3 linked regions of the Saccharomyces cerevisiae S288C genome follow. The gene in region 2 interacts genetically with the main gene of each other region. Each region holds a gene or a part of one and is shown on either strand. Other genes may lie near its edges.

Region 1 (5,118 bases), on a different chromosome or scaffold from region 2:
GCTTTCATATGATTTATTTCTGCTAGATTTTGTTGGTAATGGTCTGTACTTGTATTGCGCGTTGCATTATTGTTATTCATCTCTGGTGAGGGAACAACTGTCTCAAAGATTCCCACTTTTTTATCCGTTGAATGATGCCCGTAGTATACCTATATCCAGTTTCCTCATTCTAAAAGATTTTTGCGTTTCCTGTTGCTGCATGATGGTTTTAAGGCAGTTATACTATTATAGGTCAACTAAACATATTTATCAGGGCATTTCCATTACTTCCATAATAATTATAAGTGTGTTCCTTGTATTAGGCATATTTACATATGGCTGTTCCATCTCTAATTTACCGTTGAAAAATTCAGGTAAATTTGGCGTTTTCTATTTGGAACACATAAATTATTTGTGGGTAATGGCAAATCTGCTTAAATGTTTCAAGTATGTGCCTCAAATGAGTATAAACTGGATGGGATGCTCAACAGTAGGTTTATCATCAAAGTTTGCATTGATATCATTTTTGGCTGAATCTATCGATTTATTAGGTAGACTGGTAATACCGACCAATGCATTGTTTTACGAGATACCATTTAATTCAACGCCCTTTTGGGTAAAATTGATACAATTTGTCACCTTATTGGTCATACTTTGTCAAGTTCAGTATGTTTACGTAGGACGGAAACCACGGTTGCCAAAAGGAAAACTATAACAAGGTCAGCTCATTCTCTACCTTAATGGCTTTGCGATGTTTGCAAATTTAAGGAGTTTTAGATAATGCATTTATTATTACTATTTTTTCTTTTATTTTTCCATATTTACAGGCGACATACTATGATAGAATAGAATCTAAAGTTTTTTACCCAAAATGGAGGTAGCTATCTTTACACCAGTGCCAACATGTCTTTCTGGGTCTGATTGAAAGTCTTCTAGAGTTACAGGTTTTGTATATTGTAATAAATTATCTAACTCTGCTTTCATTTTTTTTCTTAGCTCTTCATCTCTTGTAATAATGAGAGCATTCGATTCCAAATCTAATGAATACGCCCTTCTCGTATAGTTTGAAGATCCTATAACCGTGATAAAGGGTTTCCAATTGTTAGCATCATTTTTATCACGAGCGGAAAGCCAAATACCTTTTGCGTGATATGACCAACCATTCGGCTTATTTACTACGCCTCTTTGCCATTCTCTTAATGTAATAGCATGATCTTGTCTGTACCTACATACATCTTGTAGAAATTTTTTTGACAGGTACAAGTAAGCACCAGGTAAATTTGATGAGACGCCCTTTGATTGGTAAAAGCCGTTTGCAAAGGGGGAAGCTGTTATTACATTTGCCTCAGCAACCGGCGTTGCCAGCAGTTTTGCTTTGATGTCTGGCAAAATATTGAAGTATCCTGCAGTGAACGTCCAAGAAATGGCATTGCTTGTTATAGTGGAAAGCAATGACAATATTGTTCTTTTTTCGGTCGATTTGTCATTATATTTGGGAAAAAGTGGAGTGAATTGAGAAATTGGGTAAACTAATGTGGAGAATTGACCCACGGCAGTAATCGGGAGGCTTTGTTTAGAACTCTTTAAAAAGCCATCTAGTAATTGAGATGCTTCCCTTAAAAACAGCCTTTTATTTTTCGTCGGTTCAACAGTAGGATTCGAATCTGGCCAAATGATGTTGATGCTACCATCCACCATTGGCTTTATAATCTGATAACTGAAGGAACTTATGAGTTGATGTAATTTAAAATAATAGTTGGAGAAGTTTCGAGATTTAAAGAGATAGTATCTATCTTGTCTGTTGGTGAAATAGTCGTTCGAAAGGTTGGCTCCCGAAAGAATGACCTCGTTATCAAACCCATATATTTTCATATGTTGTAAGCCTAAACCTTCATTAAATCTCTTGGGAACCAAGACTTTTTTCCAACCATGATAAGCAGGCGTCTTGTACAATCGGCAATCCACTCTCTCTGACCCATATTTGGCTACTAAAGACGATAATAAAGTGGCGGAACAGGCGGAAGGCAATTCTCTTGTTCCTCGAAGGCCATCAAGTAGAAAAGAAACTTTCAACTTGGGGTTCTTGGTCAATGCCTGGGATATGCAGTCCACCAACTCAGTCTCGCTTTTGCCTAAATACAGAGACGCAATGAATATTCTATTTTGTGAATTAAGTATTTTTGTCTTCAAGAGATCGTAAAACTGAGATGGAGATTCGATTATATCGATTTCTTTTGCTTGGAAATGAAAGCATGTTTGTAAATTCTGTTGTAGGGACTTAGTGATCGTGTTCAAATAATTGCCAAATGGAGAAGGGTTCGCAGCGGACATCTGCCTTTTTATATTGAAGGGTTTCTGGAGAGGTAGGGATAATAATCTGTAATGAGGACGAGTGAGTTGGAGCAAACGAGTCGTCATTAATATATGTTATCCTGAGTATGCTATTAGCAATTATGGACAAGCTGGGTGTCCTACATTATATCTACTTTCTTGTGTGGGCTGCTTTTTAGGAGTGTTCGGGCGTGAATGTGTCCATGTGCTACTGCTTTTTTATTTATGTTTTCTTCTTCACACATGGGTTACTGGCAGAAAATAAAGAAGAGAGAGGATCAATATATATATATATATGCTAAAAGATTATAATATGAAACTTATTTAAAATCAGGCAGTTAGGAACTCAACATATTTCTATCATTCACTTGTTAGTGCATGAGAAGAAGTAATTGCAATATCACCTAGAATTCCTTCGTAAAATCTTTATATTAACGATGTCCGCATCACTGGCATTTCTTCGAAGCTTAGCTCTATTAGAAAGAGACATCAAAGTTTCATTGGTGACGAATGAGTTTTGGTAAGTGTCAGACCTATCCCAAATATCAGTGGGTTCATCGTCTGTGGTGGTCGTGTTGAATGAATCATTATTATAATGCTGAATTTTTTCGTTAGTAGGCGTTTGGCAAGGGGTGATGTAGCAGTTCACATCATGCGTTATAGTCATATCATCAGCTCCAGGCTCATCATGGAATTTTTTCATGTTAGGCTTTGATATATGCGTGGGATTGGGCTTAGGCATGGGTATTGGCGCAATAGTTTGTCCTCGCATAATGTTGACAATACTAGTGGAAGCACGTTCAAGGACCGTACGTATCGGAGCAAACCACCGTTTCCATTCTAGACTTATGTATACACTGGGTACCCCGCAGATTGAGTGGAACACACCCAATATAAATCCAAAGATGAGTCCTATGATGCTGCCAAAAGCACAAAGCACAGCAAAATATTGAAACAACGTCAAAACCACATAGAAGTCTAATGTGCTTGTTTGTGCAACTAAACGGCTCAGCGACGTCCCCAGGAACAACCTCAATGGGATGTTGATAGGCAATGCCACAAGCTGAAACCCATTCCATACGAAAATTGATAAAGGCAGTTGCACGAGGGCACGGAAGAGAGGTGAAATCACTCCCATGCATAGCTGCACGCTCCAATCCACCACAAACATATTGCGGCTAGTTATATACCTGCTTTCTCCTCCTACAGTTGCTGATGAAGCCCTAAATGGTTTCTTCTTTTAGTCGTTGCTCACCCGGCAGCTCTTTAGTTTTTTTTATTTTTTTTTTTTTCTTTTGAGATTTCTCACTATAAAAAAAGAAGAAATTACTTTAAATTGTTTGTCTATTCCAACATAATCATTAGCAGCACATGTCGAGCAACAGATAAACACAGCAGCGGCACGGTGAACCACATAAGTGTATGTGCACACGCGTGTTTTGTGCAGTGTATTACCAACTTGCGCATGCAAGGATATCACACTCCTGTTTCTGCCTCATGTCTTTTAAAACGCTTCCACGGGACATGGGTTCTAATTATGGAGAAGATCAAGCTTTGAAATGGCCCGTTTACACATTTTGATACAACCGTAGACGGCGTCTCGTTTCAAAGACCGTGTGGTTGTCTATCAGTATATACTCATTGTGTTTTTCAAAAAATCTCTGGGTTGTTTAGATGCCACTATATTTCTATTCGTATTTATTTTTATGTATACTTATTTTGCTTATTTTTCTTATACTCAGGAAACGTCACTTGGCTTGATATACTCGACGCTTTATTCTGCAAATTCAGGTCTCAAATCTGAACGGCGTGGAGCCACCAAGGGATGGAGCTGGCAAAGGAACGTAATGGCCCACATCAAAAACATCATGGCCAATGTCAAAATCACTGTACTTCTCCAAACACTGTACGACAAAACAAAACAAACAAACTCTTGTTAGTAAAAAAGAAAGGGAAACTAGTAATATGGAGACACATCGTAAAAAAAATGTTGCACATACGCTTGGTTGTTCTTTGGAGCCATTATCCAGAACAGCACGGACATGGCACTAACCACTATGAATACACCAACAACAGTATAGCTAAATTGGACGCGCAGAGAGTTAGTAGAAGAAGAAGGAAGAAAAGGGAAGCGGAGAGAAGAGATTATGACACATACAAACTACTCATTACTCTTTGTTCTTTATTATTCGTTGGACCTTTGTTTCTTAAAGTATAGATAAAAGGTCAAAAAATGTAGTAGTCTTTTTTCACAGAGCGAGAATAAAAAGTTACGGCAAAATTTTGTGGGCAGTTGGTATCTTAACGGCCAAGAAAAGAGAGAGAGTGAAGAGCAACGATGTCTGCAAACGGCAAGATCTCTGTTCCCGAGGCGGTGGTCAATTGGCTGTTCAAAGTCATTCAACCCATTTATAACGACGGAAGAACAACTTTCCACGATTCTTTAGCGCTGCTGGACAATTTTCACAGTTTAAGGCCAAGAACAAGGGTATTTACGCACTCTGACGGCACTCCACAACTACTGTTGTCCATATATGGTACCATTAGTACTGGTGAGGATGGTTCATCTCCTCACAGTATTCCTGTGATCATGTGGGTACCCAGTATGTACCCGGTAAAACCTCCCTTTATAAGTATAAACTTGGAAAATTTCGACATGAACACCATCAGTAGTTCCTTGCCCATTCAAGAATACATCGACTCCAATGGGTGGATTGCGCTGCCCATACTCCACTGCTGGGATCCTGCCGCGATGAACCTTATAATGGTCGTACAAGAATTAATGAGTCTCTTACACGAGCCGCCACA
Region 2 (8,120 bases):
TAAATGTGGCGGGGAAGATGTTGAGCTAGCGCCGTGCACAGTGGAAGAGACGGAGGCGATTGTGGGGTTTCATCGGATTGTGCGGGAAGAAGGCCTACACCGTGTTGAGCCACCCCCCCCTCAGGAGTAAATTTACACAAACAGTGGTGGTGCCTATGGTGGTATACGAGATAGTGATAGAAGCTGCTGGATTGGGGTAGAAATTTTGTAGGCGTTTATGGATATGGTATGGATATGGTATGGCTTGAGGTAGGTAATCCAGACACCACTGGAAATATATATAAGGAGAGAGTTCTGGCAGGTAGATTTGTACTCCTCTCTACCACTTTCTTCTACTCCTTTTATTATGTAATGTTTATTATAAGCACAGCAAAAACGTTAAATAAATCTAATAAGATTTCATTATAACATAACATTAAAGCACACAAATTTCTAACACAAACACAATTCAAACATGACCAGAACTAGCAAATGGACAGTCCACGAAGCAAAGTCTAACCCAAAGTATTTCACCCATAACGGCAACTTTGGGGAGTCTCCCAACCACGTCAAGAGAGGAGGCTATGGGAAAGGCAATTGGGGCAAGCCTGGCGATGAGATTAATGACTTAATCGATTCTGGCGAAATTAAGACAGTCTTCAACAAGACCAGAAGGGGCTCTAACTCCCAAAACAATGAAAGAAGGCTTTCTGATTTGCAACAATACCACATCTAACCGACCCGACCGGTTTGATTCCGTTAGCATATTTCAAAGAAACGGGCCTTTTAATGATTTAACGACCATATAACTTCAATAACGTGTATGCATATATAAAATGATCATGTCAAACATCCTTTATATTACTTCTTAAATACATGTTTACGATAAAAAATAAAATTTACATTATAAGTTTTTGATTGCCCATATTTGTTGATAAGAATGTAGCCTTACCGTGGCCGGTTTGTTCACCTGTAACCTCTTTGGGGGCGACCGTTAGTACTGCGCGTGTATGCTGGTGCAGGTGGAGCTGTCACAGGCGGTCTGTTATACATTTTACTATTATTTCTGTTTCCATTCACATTTTTGTTGCCACCAACTACTGGAGGTGCAGTATTGGCATTGGAATGTTTCTCATTTTCTTCTTTTTGATGCATGAGCTCCGCTTGCTTTCTTTCCAATGCCCTTTTTCCAACAAAATTGTAAACTATAGCTGCGTTTCTCGTGGAACATGCGTGCAACCATGCAAAAACACTTCCCAGAATAGGAACTAAACTAATAAGTAAATCGATAACGATATTACCATGCATCTTCACCTTGATTTCCGCAGGCAATTTATACCTGTCATCTGCCAATTCAATCAACTTATCATGCACCCAATACATCAATAAGGGTCCTATAACCGGTAGAAGTGCAAGTAATGGTGCCCATCCTATAGTGTTTGTCCAGCAACAGCATCCGCACAGTGATTTGTCATGCAGCCAGGCTTTGTTTTGGACCTTTTTCCACGCTTTACTTTCATCCTTAGTGCAATAATATGGCAGTCTGCGGCGGTGCTTTTTACCATCTTTATTCGTTTCATAAAACGGATCCCTGGTTGGCTGGAAATGCTGTTCTGCGAACTCTTGATATTGATCTTCTAAGTAATCTTGGCCTAGACCAAGCAACGTGCTCTTAATGAACCCTGACATTTGATATGGTTTCCCCCTTATTTTACTTGATGATATTGCTCCCAGCAGATCCAAGATTTATTTTCAAGTGCTCTTGTCTCACGTATACTACGACTTCTATGAAACAAATATATGAGTAGGGAACTGAACAAAAAAGCAAATTCTTCCAATGCTCTCTAGCTCGCAGTCATGTTATGATCTCATAATCACGTCCCATTCCCGGCTTCTACGCATTTTTCCACGTATTAGCGCGATTTAAAAAAAGAAAATAGAAACAAATAGCAATAAACAAAAAGAAAAGTAACGCTATTACATCCACATGTCACAACTACTTTGTGAAGTTGCAATGCGTGATTAGTATTATAAAACATCATAGCCTTGCCAAATAAACTCGCTTCCCAGAAAAGACGCCAAATTAACTGCCGCTGTTATGTGACAAAACAGGGCATCTCACATATTCGCGTACTGGTGTTCTTTTAGCTCATTCCGATATTATTCCAAGACGGAATTTTCATCTAGAGAAAATGCATCCGTGCATTTTCATAAACCCACACAATTAAAATGCCTTGCGAAAAGGAGGACTCGTCCGTGCAACTGTTGAAAAAAATAGACGGAGCATCATACGTTCGAGTGGAAAATTATGGAGAGTTTTCCAAGCTCTATGGCATGTAGAGTCGTGATTGCTGCTGTACGCTTTTGCACAATATTGAATCTTCAATCTAAAGAATTAAATTTTCTAATTTCAATGTAGAAATATTTCAACTGTTAGTTTTTTATTTCAGGTTGAATATAGTACGACAAAATATCAAGGAAAAATGGCTAGAGAAATCACCGACATCAAACAATTTTTGGAATTGACCAGAAGAGCTGACGTTAAGACCGCCACTGTTAAGATTAACAAAAAATTGAACAAGGCCGGTAAGCCATTCAGACAAACCAAGTTCAAGGTTAGAGGCTCTTCTTCTTTGTACACTTTGGTTATCAACGATGCTGGTAAGGCTAAGAAATTGATCCAATCTTTGCCACCAACTTTGAAGGTTAACAGATTATAAGAAAAATAAGGAATGATCGGAGTGTTATCATAACGAGACTGGAACAAAAAAAACTAAGAATACTTTCCCATCCGCATAAAGAATAATATCCATTTGTGTTCGTTATACAGGAAGTAGAAATAGGCTTTATAACTTTTTTTGTTTTTGTTTCCTTTTGTTTTTCTTACTACTCATAAACATATTTTTTAATTTTTAAAGTCATAACGTTGTATAGTTAATAAAAAAAATTGGATTACTATTCATTGAAGAAGAGAGTTCTATACGTTCTTTTTTAAGTTTATTTAAAGGGAGTTACCATTTGTGTAATAAAGTAAATTAGAGATTATATTATGTAAAGGTAAAAACGGGAGCGAGCATCATACGGCCTTCTTGCTATCGCGACCAATGGTTGGATTTGATTGCTCTTTCTCTTCAGTATCATCTAATACTTTTGCCAGTCGATCTCTTGCCCTAGATTTTAAAACTTCTTCATCGGTCGAGGAAATTCTTTCAAACTCGCCTTCGTTGATGTTTGATGCTTCGGCAAATTCTTTTGTCTCTTCTGTTGTAGGCTCTCCTACTTTTTTCGCATTATCTTTCTCTTGCTTGTTGCTCCCAAGCTCTTGCTCAGCGGTTAAACCATTCGTGCTGTTTTCTTCAACCTTTTGTTCAATGGCAGAATTTCTATTCGAATTTATCACGCTTTCATCAAAGTCAGAAGTTTTGACCAATTCTGCGGTTCTTACCCATCTTCTTCTTCTTGTATATTTAGAAAAGGAATCTTCTTTACTTGGTTTTTTCCAGGTATTGTCGTAATATATAAATCCCTCGTCAGGGGAGGGATCTGCGGAAGTTCTTGCCTTTGAATTGGGCACTTGAATGGCACCGTCATTAGTCATGTCTAGCCTCCATGTCTTGTCGACCCATCTCCAAACCATAGTGTTAGTCTCTTCAGGTAGATGGAAGTTTTCAGGAGAGGGAGCCTCATTCAAAAATTCATCGGTCCATGGAGTCCTCTCATAACTCAACATACTAGGCTTCCATCCAATACCTAACCAACGACGCTGGTTCTCGTACAAAACATAAGTAAAACGGATAGGCTTGGAATCGGATAATACGCCATTACTGTTTTCTGTTGATGCCAACTTTTTCACTTGCTTCTGCACTGTAGCAAAAATACCCTGGTCCTTATTTATTCCACCAAGGTCTAAACCCGTGACGTAGAAAACAAGCAGCCTGACAATCTTAAACTTCCATAAAAGCCTTCTTGCTACTTTAGACCATGGTGAGTGATACGTTAAAAGGAACATGCCCACCATCAGCATCAAGCTTCTCGGTGGTAAAAGTAGCCAGGTTATCATCACGTATATTGGAGATAATATGACCGTAGTATATAGAAGCCGTTGAATATCTTGCGTTCCAAGGTTAACCATGGGGGAGAGCAAAATATCTGACTTCAAGGATACTCTGTTCATTAAGAGAGCAATATCTTCTAATGTTGGTGAGGAGCTCAACGTACCCTCAATATAATTGTCCAATAGGGAATAACCCCACAAAATAGCAATGATGGCAAGATGTCCAAAGTACTTCACCAGCGTTTCAAAATACTCAACGGTAGTAATAAAGAGACACAGCATCAAAACACTGCTCCAAATATTCTTTCCTGTCCATGTAACAACGTTTAGGAATTCGTCAATGAGAATTAAATAAGGGTACAATTTCACCAACGCCTTTGAGATTGTGGGCGGTGTTGATGTCAAAAGCGGCGAAGTAGCTACGTTAACTTTCTCCAATGACCCGTTATCATTATCCTCAGACACCCCGCTTTCAGCTTCGTTCTTTTCCAAAGCAGCTCGTATCACTTTTGTAGTATTGCCACCAATCCTCGGTTGCAGCGTCTCTGCAAACTTGGCTCTAGTCTCATGCACGTTAGTTGTGTTACCACTCATTGAAAATCAGTTTTTACACTCCGGAGGATCAACTAGACAGCTCGAATCCTAAATTGCAACCTTGCATGCCCACTTTACCTCAGTAGCGAACGTATCCAAGTATATATTTTGTGAAGCTGATCCAAAAACCCTTTAGTCCTCTTCCCGCTTCTTTCCGTGCAACCGGAGAATAATAAGAAAAAGCCATGCGCATCTCTATCTGAAGTGGACTCAAGCTAAAGCCATCGAAAGCTCCATCACTTAATCAAAGCTCCAGGTATTCATGTTCAGAAAGAGATTAGTGAACAAAAGCTCTTCTGATGAAAAGAACCAGAAAAAGAGGCAGAAAATTAATTTTAGCGAAGAGAAACTAGTGGCCAGCGATGAAGAAAAGGGTTCCAGTGACCTCATGAGCTTAGCCAAGAGTGGAAATAGCAGGACACTTCAACTTTCACATGAGAATGAAGGTAAACTACAGAAAAAGGGTGAGGATTTAGATAAATACACTTTAACGGTCAACGACGACAGCACTAAAGAAGATCTTCTAAACTTTGAGAGAAAAGAGCTGGCTGAGAAGGCAAAGAAGAGGCGACCTAGTGATGACAATGAGCTGGTACTGAACATGAGCGGTAAAAATAAACGCCTCACTAAACAGATTAACCAACCAACGAATATCCGGACCACGGTGCTGATGGATTTTCAGCCCGACGTTTGCAAAGATTACAAACAGACGGGATACTGTGGTTACGGAGATAGCTGCAAGTTCTTACACTCGAGGGATGATTTCAAGACTGGCTGGAAGCTGAACCAAGAATGGAATGCGGATAAAGAGGACTCCAAAGCGGTTACTCTAGACTTGGAAAAGATACCGTTCAAGTGCACTCTTTGTAAGGAAGATTACAAGTCTCCAGTGGTCACAAACTGTGGCCATTATTTTTGTGGATCGTGTTTTGCCAAAGATATGAAAAAGGGCACCAAATGCTTTATATGCCACAAGGAGACCCACGGCAGTGCAAAAGTAGCATCTGACTTACAGAAGATGCTAAATAAAAGGAAAAGTTGATGGAGAATGCCATATCACCCCAAAAATTACACGCACCCGATGCTAATGTACAGGAATTATAGAGCACATGACCCATAGATTTATCGAGCATTGTTGCAATTTCGAAAGACTCTTTCACATAATAAAGTATGTAAACTATATAGATAGAAGATGTCCCGTGTCTTTTTGTCTACTAAATGATGATCTGCTCATTTAAAGTCGCCGCGACTACTTTGACAAAAAAAAAAAACTTAGAAAATACGACAAATAGAGATTATTGAATGAAGTACATTGAAAAAAGAAAGAAGAAAGGCACATAGCAGCACACAATGTCGCACCAAAACCAGCTTATTCCACAAGCTTATATTTCTAACTTTCATAACAGATTGACAAACGAAGATGATGGTATCCCCATCTTTACAATGGCTCAACAAACAAGGCAGCATAAAAGGGCTAAAGTGGTCAACTATGCGGAATATGACAACGATCTCTTTGATGAATTCAATATGAACGGTTCTAATTTCAACAATGCTGATACACACTATAAAGATAATGCAGTGTCTCATGAAAATACTCCGGCACTTACAAATGGTGTTACCATGGACGGTTCCGAATACAATGTCCTAGAGAACATGAATGGAGCTGATAGTATTATCTCTAACAACAAATACGATGCGGGTTCAAACATGGTTGTGGAATCTTTATCCGGTTTGAATAGCAATAACAACGCCAGCAATGGTCCGAGCAACAAAGCGCAGGCACAGGATATTGGAAACGCCGTTCTACCGGATCTGCAAGACCAACACCACAACCCCTTCAACATATTGAGATACCCTAAAATAAGAGATACTTTCATTAACGGAAAAGTGGTGTCTCCATATAGACTCAACACTGATCAAGAAACGAAGGCAAACGCCAATTCTGGAGAGGCAATCATGATACCAATTACTTTGGATATAGAACATATGGGTCATACCATAAAAGACCAGTTTCTCTGGAACTACAATGACGACTCCATATCTCCGGAGGAATTTGCCTCTATATACTGTAAAGATCTTGATATGACTTCCGCTACCTTACAAACTCAAATTGCGAATATAATAAAAGAGCAGTTGAAAGACCTCGAAAATATTGCAGCCACTGAGATAATGTCTGACCTCCACGTGATAATCAACCTAACCTGCAACTTACAAGACAGATTTTTTGAAGATAACTTCCAGTGGAACTTGAACGACAAATCACTTACTCCAGAAAGATTTGCTACATCCATTGTACAGGACCTTGGCTTAACAAGAGAGTTCATCCCCTTAATATCTCAATCGCTTCATGAAACTATCTTGAAGATAAAGAAGGACTGGGTAGATGGCCACTTGATTCAGGACCATGTCCCAAACGATGCCGCATTTGGGTACTTATCTGGTATAAGGCTGGATATTGATGAACTGGGCTCCAATTGGTGCCCAAGGGTGGAAATATTAACAAAAGAAGAAATACAAAAGAGAGAAATTGAAAAAGAAAGAAACTTAAGAAGATTGAAAAGAGAAACTGATAGATTATCTAGAAGGGGCAGGAGAAGATTAGATGACTTAGAAACCACAATGAGAATGTAGTAACTTTGCTTTTCTTGTTACAGAATTGTATTATTATAAGTATTATTAATCAAACGGGAAGGACAAAAAATTTAACAAACGCAGAAGCAACTAAATCAAGACTAAAGAGAACGTAAAAAAAGTCATGCACTTCTTTGAGATACACGTTACCAAAAGAATACAAAATGTTTATCACCAACACTGATAGATCTTGTTTCTATTTGGACTAATTCGCAATTTGACATATATGACATATATTACGGAGAATTTTTAAATATGCTTATATTACATGTGTATAATTTACGTATTCTTGAAGGTTTTGAAAGGTTCAGACGCCTCAATTTTTCCTATATTACTTTCTATTATCTTTATTACAATCGCAGATAGCGAACTTTGCAAAGTAGTATGAGGAATCTGATTAGGTATGTTCATATTACTATCAAGCATCCTTAGCTGCAAAAGTTTGTCATGCTCCCAAAACCCATCTGCGATTCTCAACACAGATACCAAAAACGCATCTTTTGCGGCGATCAAATCACTATTACTATTAAAGGTGTCGTCTGTTGCGCACTCAATACATAACGCCCTGTATACTTTGCAAAGTTCAGCAAATTCATCAGGAGATACCTGCTCGAATTTCATTTTTAAAACCTTGTTGAAAAGGTCTATGAAGTGAGATAGAAGAAAATTCTTGATATTCACGTCGAAAAAAGGTCTGTTCTCAAATATGTGTGCTATCACCAGGTCAGAAAAAAATGCAAAAGGGCTCTCTAACATGGTGGAGGTGAATAAAGTGCTTAAATTGTCAAGATATCCATCAATTTCATTCCCAGTGCAACAGGCTTGAACAATACCGGTTTCAACAAATGCAGCTTTGGAAAGT
Region 3 (5,071 bases), 150 kb from region 2:
ATCCGTGCATTATTACATAGTATACATCCGTACATCCGTACATCCGTACATCTGTACACAAAAAAAATCACCTCATACAATTTTTTAGGAGTGCCGTTTAAATGAAGCGCAGCCAGATGCGACAAAAACTTAAAGGCGCGGCTCAGCCTAGATTACGTTCTTTTTCAGGTGATGGTGCCATTTCCGCCCTTCTCGTTAGAGCCGGAACGCAGATGAGCTGCCCTCTGGCGCCCGCGCTCCTCGCCTGGTAAGTTCACTACTAGGCTGGAAGTTGTATGGTGTCCTCTGGGATTGCAAGGGCACGCTAGTTGGATGTGCTCACAATTGGATTGGCACTTCAAATGCCAACTGGAAGGGCGCGAAACCGAGGGTAATGCGACAGAGGGCACTGACGTTGTTTCGTAACCTTGTAAGCTCTTTCTGATGGTAGTGCTTCATGTACATGTTTACTCTATTATTTGACCAGTCTCATTGTTGATAGGTTCCTTAGTTTTACATAGTCTTGGGTCTTAGTATATTTCAATTGCACGAGCAGATAATCCAAAGTACTTGAAAATGGCCGGTTTAAAAGACGTTGTCACTCGTGAATACACCATCAACTTGCACAAAAGAGTATGTCGAAATTAGCGTTGTCTTTACGTGGGAAATTATTGAAAGCCAACAAGCGATATTGTGGTGAAATACCAAGCGAAATCTATACGGGTGAAATTTCATTTTCCAATGATTGACCCCAGGTTTTAATTCGGAATATTAGAGGTTATTATATGGAATGCGTGATGCAAGGACTGGAAGGTTCTTCTTCGGTACTGCATTTCTCTGTGTTCTGCGATCGATATCCGTACCTCACGTTTACACTATAATGGCGCTTGGGCCGATGTTTTTGGCGTGATGCTTTAGTTCCACCTTCTTATAACAACTTTTTTTTTACTAACAGACCAATCTTGAATTGATATTAATATAGCTACATGGTGTCAGTTTCAAAAAGAGAGCTCCAAGAGCTGTGAAGGAAATCAAGAAATTCGCCAAATTACACATGGGTACTGAAGATGTCCGTCTAGCCCCAGAATTGAACCAAGCTATCTGGAAAAGAGGTGTTAAGGGTGTTGAATACAGATTGAGATTGAGAATCTCCAGAAAGAGAAACGAAGAAGAAGATGCCAAGAACCCATTGTTTTCCTACGTCGAACCAGTTTTGGTTGCCTCTGCTAAGGGTCTACAAACCGTTGTCGTTGAAGAAGATGCTTAAATTGTAAAAAAAAAAAAATAATGTCCATCTTATAAGCATTTTATTTCTTTTAGGTTATATTATTACACAAACAGAGCTGCTTTCGGGGTACGAGTATACGCTCTTGAATGATAGGAAAATATATACAATTTCAGTACCACAGTTTATTAGATTTTTGTAATTCAAAATTTATTCATTCTTGTCTCTCAACCACTGAGGCGCTCCTCTGCACACAGCTATTAGCTTTATAAGGAATTTCAACGCCCATGCCAAATCCATCCTCGCCGTAACGCTTGAACTCAAAGGTTTTATTAAACCAGTCGATCAGACTAATGTAATTTTTAAGATTCATCATTTTCTTTAACAGAGATTTCTTCAACTCCATATTTTCAAGCATACAGTACAGATGGTGCTGAGCCAATTGAAAAGGCAAGCCACCAAACTCTAGAGCCCAATAACAAAACTTCTCAATGCAGCCCCAAGGGCAGGTAGTATATCCAGCAAATAACGCTGGATTGCTTAACAACCCACGCACAGCCATGACACCATGTGCACCAGTGTATTTGGTGATTCTTTCCAAATCGGATAACTTAAAACAATCCCCATTCGCTATTACAGGCACATTTTTGTCGCTGATGTTCTCGATGATATATTTTATCGCATCCAGGTTAGCCGGCTGCGATGACCTAGTTCTACGTGTTCGGCCATGAATCGTAATCCAATCTACCCCAGCATCACATAGCTTTCTACATAACTCCACCGTCTCGTCCAATGCCTCATGTATTCTTATTTTCGTTTCAATTCTTAGTTTGTCGCCATACTTATCTTTCACAGCATGGACCATACTGCATAACAAATCTGAATTGTATATCAGAGCGCAACCTATGCCCTCTCGGATTTGTTCCTTTATAGGACAACCACAGTTAATACCAATACCATCACAGTATGGGGCAACCATTTCCACAAATTTTAGTAAATCAGCCACGTTATTTACACCTACTTGGACGATTAGCGGGGTGTCCTCATTATTTGTAGAAAGGTCTGAGATTCTTGCATGCTCATTACGGACATATTCTCTTGCCAAAATCATGGGGGAGTAAACTATATCAACGTTATATTCTCGGCACAACTGACGGAATGGTAACTTGGAATACCGAACCATTGGGCCTGCAATGGTCACGGGCCGACCATGTGTCTTTTGCCTCGTCTTTATTATATGCAGTGGATCTGTTTCTTCAGTAATAAGCTTCGGCTTCGGTATCAGAACATCACCGGATGGAATATGCATTGTGTGCATTTTCTTTAGAATCTTTATTCTGCATATGAATTATAACTTTGAAGAATCCATCTCTTATTTTCATTTTGAGTTTTTTCGCTGATCATCTTTTTTTTATTCAGGGCGAAGAAGCAGAATGCTGGAAGAGCCTACTTACTTAGAAAATAACAGCTAGGTTTTAAAATTATATAGCGAGAAGTACAATTCTATCAGCTATGTTTCTTGGATTTTTCCTGACCCTTTCTAACAAAAATGAATGCAGTGCAACCTGTGATAAAAAAAAGTACACATATTATGCAATGGAAAATTGAAATGCCAATAATATAAGATAAAAATCTTTTTCGAAGCATCAAGTTTCTTAATCCCTGCTCAAAATTCATCCTAAACTTAATCCCACTTTCTGGATGTATTATTAGATTTCTTTGGGCAATCTCCGTTTTCAAGAACACCGAGATTGTTTCATATGAAGACTCTAACGATATTTTGTCCTCTATTCTTATTGTATTTAGCCATTCTTCATCGTAAACGTCTAGACGTGATGGGCCTAGTTGTTCGATCTCCTGAGGCGACATGGAATCCGTCAGTGCGAGGCAGACAATAGGTCTAGAAGTGTGAAAGATTTTTTCATCTTTGCTGTTACTTCCTCCAGGAGCACCCAATAGCGGGCCTGGACCTCTGTAAACATCAATTAACAAATTGTCTAAATTTAAATGGTCAGTTTTGCTCTGGCAATAAAGCTGTAGGTTTAGATCGAGCTTGTATTCCATGTTGTCACGCATGGGGATTAACTGTGATAAGCCATTGTCTATTGTTTGCGGCAGATCTGTACCTACCGGAATGCTTTTAATAGATTGGAAGAATTTTGTACCAAATTGTACGCCATTTAAAATGTTGAACGTATTAAGGGGGACTACGTTAGAGGAATCGGCAGGTAATAGTCTTAGGTAAAAATCGTGATATATTAAGATCGATAAAGGAAGAATGATTAGCAATTGTATCAGAAATGCAACAACAATATATGAACTCCATTGTAAAAACTGTAATGGACGGGATACATTGATTTTCATCCTTCCTATTCACTTTATCTTATTTTCTTGAAACCTTGGATTCACATTTTGATAATTTGCCGTAAGCTGTCTCTATTTTTCTGTCTTACGCGCATTTATATTTTTAATAACCTTACGTTGAGATTTTCAAATTATACACATAGTAGCAACTAATGATGAGGTAGTTATACTTAACTTTCAAAAGAGCGACTCTAGTATTAGATGAACAATTAGGTTGCTTTATATGGATGACGAAAAGTCTTATTTACAAAATAACTCTCAATAAATGTTTCTTGACCATATGGCTTGGTGTTGTCAACTTTCTAGATAATACTTATCAGCGTGATTGGATTGTAGGTTTGGGAGGAAGGTTGCTTTTTAAGTTACTTATAGTATATTATTATTGATATTGAATTAATTTACTTTCATAAGTGTATAAAATAAAAGTTCAACATTACTAACAAAACTATAATATTTTCTCAACCAATTATTAACCTGTGATAGTTGCGCTGTAATTCCAGTCTAATTAATATGCTTCGTAAGATTAATTGTAATATTTAAGTAATCTTTTAATGGTTCAATAAGATAGTTTCTGCCTAGAAAAACGATCCGACAACGTGCATGGTAATTCACTTACAAATACACAGAATTGCAGATAAAAAACGGAACCTTTTATTTAAGATTTAGAGCATGAATAAGAAGAATTAAAGTTTCTTTTCTTAGAATAAAAATAGTTTTTAATACATCAGAACAGAAGGAAGTAAGTAAAGCCAAAATATATATAGTAAAAACACAGTAGTAAAAAATGAATAGTAAAAAACACACAACAATAATACTAAAAGGAGAGACCAGACAGAGCGCAAATCGTTTTCATGACGGAGTATTTAGAGGAAATGATGACAAAACAAGAAAATGTTATTCTATTATAAGTTCATTTTTCAATAATAGATATGCTTTTTATTTTTTGAAATTAATGGTAACAGTCGAAGAGCACAGCTTTATCATGCATTTTCGTTCAAAGATGATCACATAAATTGCGCCCAACAACAAGAGAAAGAGCGGCCGCTCGATGCATGAGTCGGTAACGGTAGAATTAGTATCTAAATAGCATACTAAATCAATTCAGTAAAGAAACAATTATATCTTAGTGAGTGGAGTGGCCCCTGTGATATTTTAAACCGTTCAAGTTCTTATATCTCTTACCACAAACTTCACAACGGTATGGTTTATCCTTTGCAGAGCCCATTCCATCACCAAAAGAATCTGTCGAATCTGGATCTATTACGCTAAATGTACCGTCAGGGTTTTCATGTAATTTTTGATTCTGATGTCCGTGCAACCTATGGTACTTCAAACCGTTTTGGTTTTTATAAGTCTTTTCACAACCAATAACTGGACACTTAAAGGGTTTTTGTTCCTCATGATCCATTACATAGAGCCTTCTCGCAGGATCGTCTATATAAGCTTGCTGAGGCATCTTGTAATTGTTGTTATGAACTGATTTTCCATTGGAACTGGAGCCAT

Evidence for each region. Genes that interact genetically often act in the same process or in processes that back each other up.
Region 1: mutations in PEX30 (region 2) and LDB16 together harm fitness more than expected from each alone (negative genetic interaction), as found in Saccharomyces cerevisiae (3 studies listed by BioGRID, with this or other methods).
Region 3: mutations in PEX30 (region 2) and SEI1 impair growth when combined (synthetic growth defect), as found in Saccharomyces cerevisiae (3 studies listed by BioGRID, with this or other methods).

Annotation. Positions count from the first base shown.
Region 1 is NC_001135.5:106,384-111,501, reverse strand, and holds LDB16 (Ldb16p), read right to left. Parts: upstream 3,482-5,118; coding exon 2,711-3,481; downstream 1-2,710. Other genes in the region: YCL002C (uncharacterized protein), read left to right, coding at 1-694; PGS1 (CDP-diacylglycerol--glycerol-3-phosphate 3-phosphatidyltransferase), read right to left, coding at 832-2,397; VMA9 (H(+)-transporting V0 sector ATPase subunit e), read right to left, coding at 4,085-4,214, 4,311-4,391, 4,469-4,479; ubiquitin-binding ESCRT-I subunit protein STP22, read left to right, coding at 4,649-5,118.
Region 2 is NC_001144.5:775,722-783,841, reverse strand, and holds PEX30 (peroxisome biogenesis protein), read right to left. Parts: upstream 4,628-8,120; coding exon 3,056-4,627; downstream 1-3,055. Other genes in the region: TMA10 (Tma10p), read left to right, coding at 455-715; YLR326W (uncharacterized protein), read right to left, coding at 946-1,668; 60S ribosomal protein eL38 RPL38, read left to right, coding at 2,463-2,699; U2-type spliceosomal complex subunit CWC24, read left to right, coding at 4,890-5,669; SFH1 (Sfh1p), read left to right, coding at 5,978-7,258; MMS22 (Mms22p), read right to left, coding at 7,538-8,120.
Region 3 is NC_001144.5:927,240-932,310, reverse strand, and holds SEI1 (seipin), read right to left. Parts: upstream 3,569-5,071; coding exon 2,711-3,568; downstream 1-2,710. Other genes in the region: YLR406C-A (uncharacterized protein), read left to right, coding at 1-105; 60S ribosomal protein eL31 RPL31B, read left to right, coding at 556-612, 962-1,246; DUS4 (tRNA dihydrouridine synthase), read right to left, coding at 1,419-2,522; zinc-coordinating transcription factor SFP1, read right to left, coding at 4,692-5,071. UniProt on the Saccharomyces cerevisiae protein: Involved in lipid metabolism and lipid droplet (LD) morphology, number, and size. Facilitates initiation of LD formation, and ensures that vectorial budding of LDs from the ER is directed towards the cytoplasm.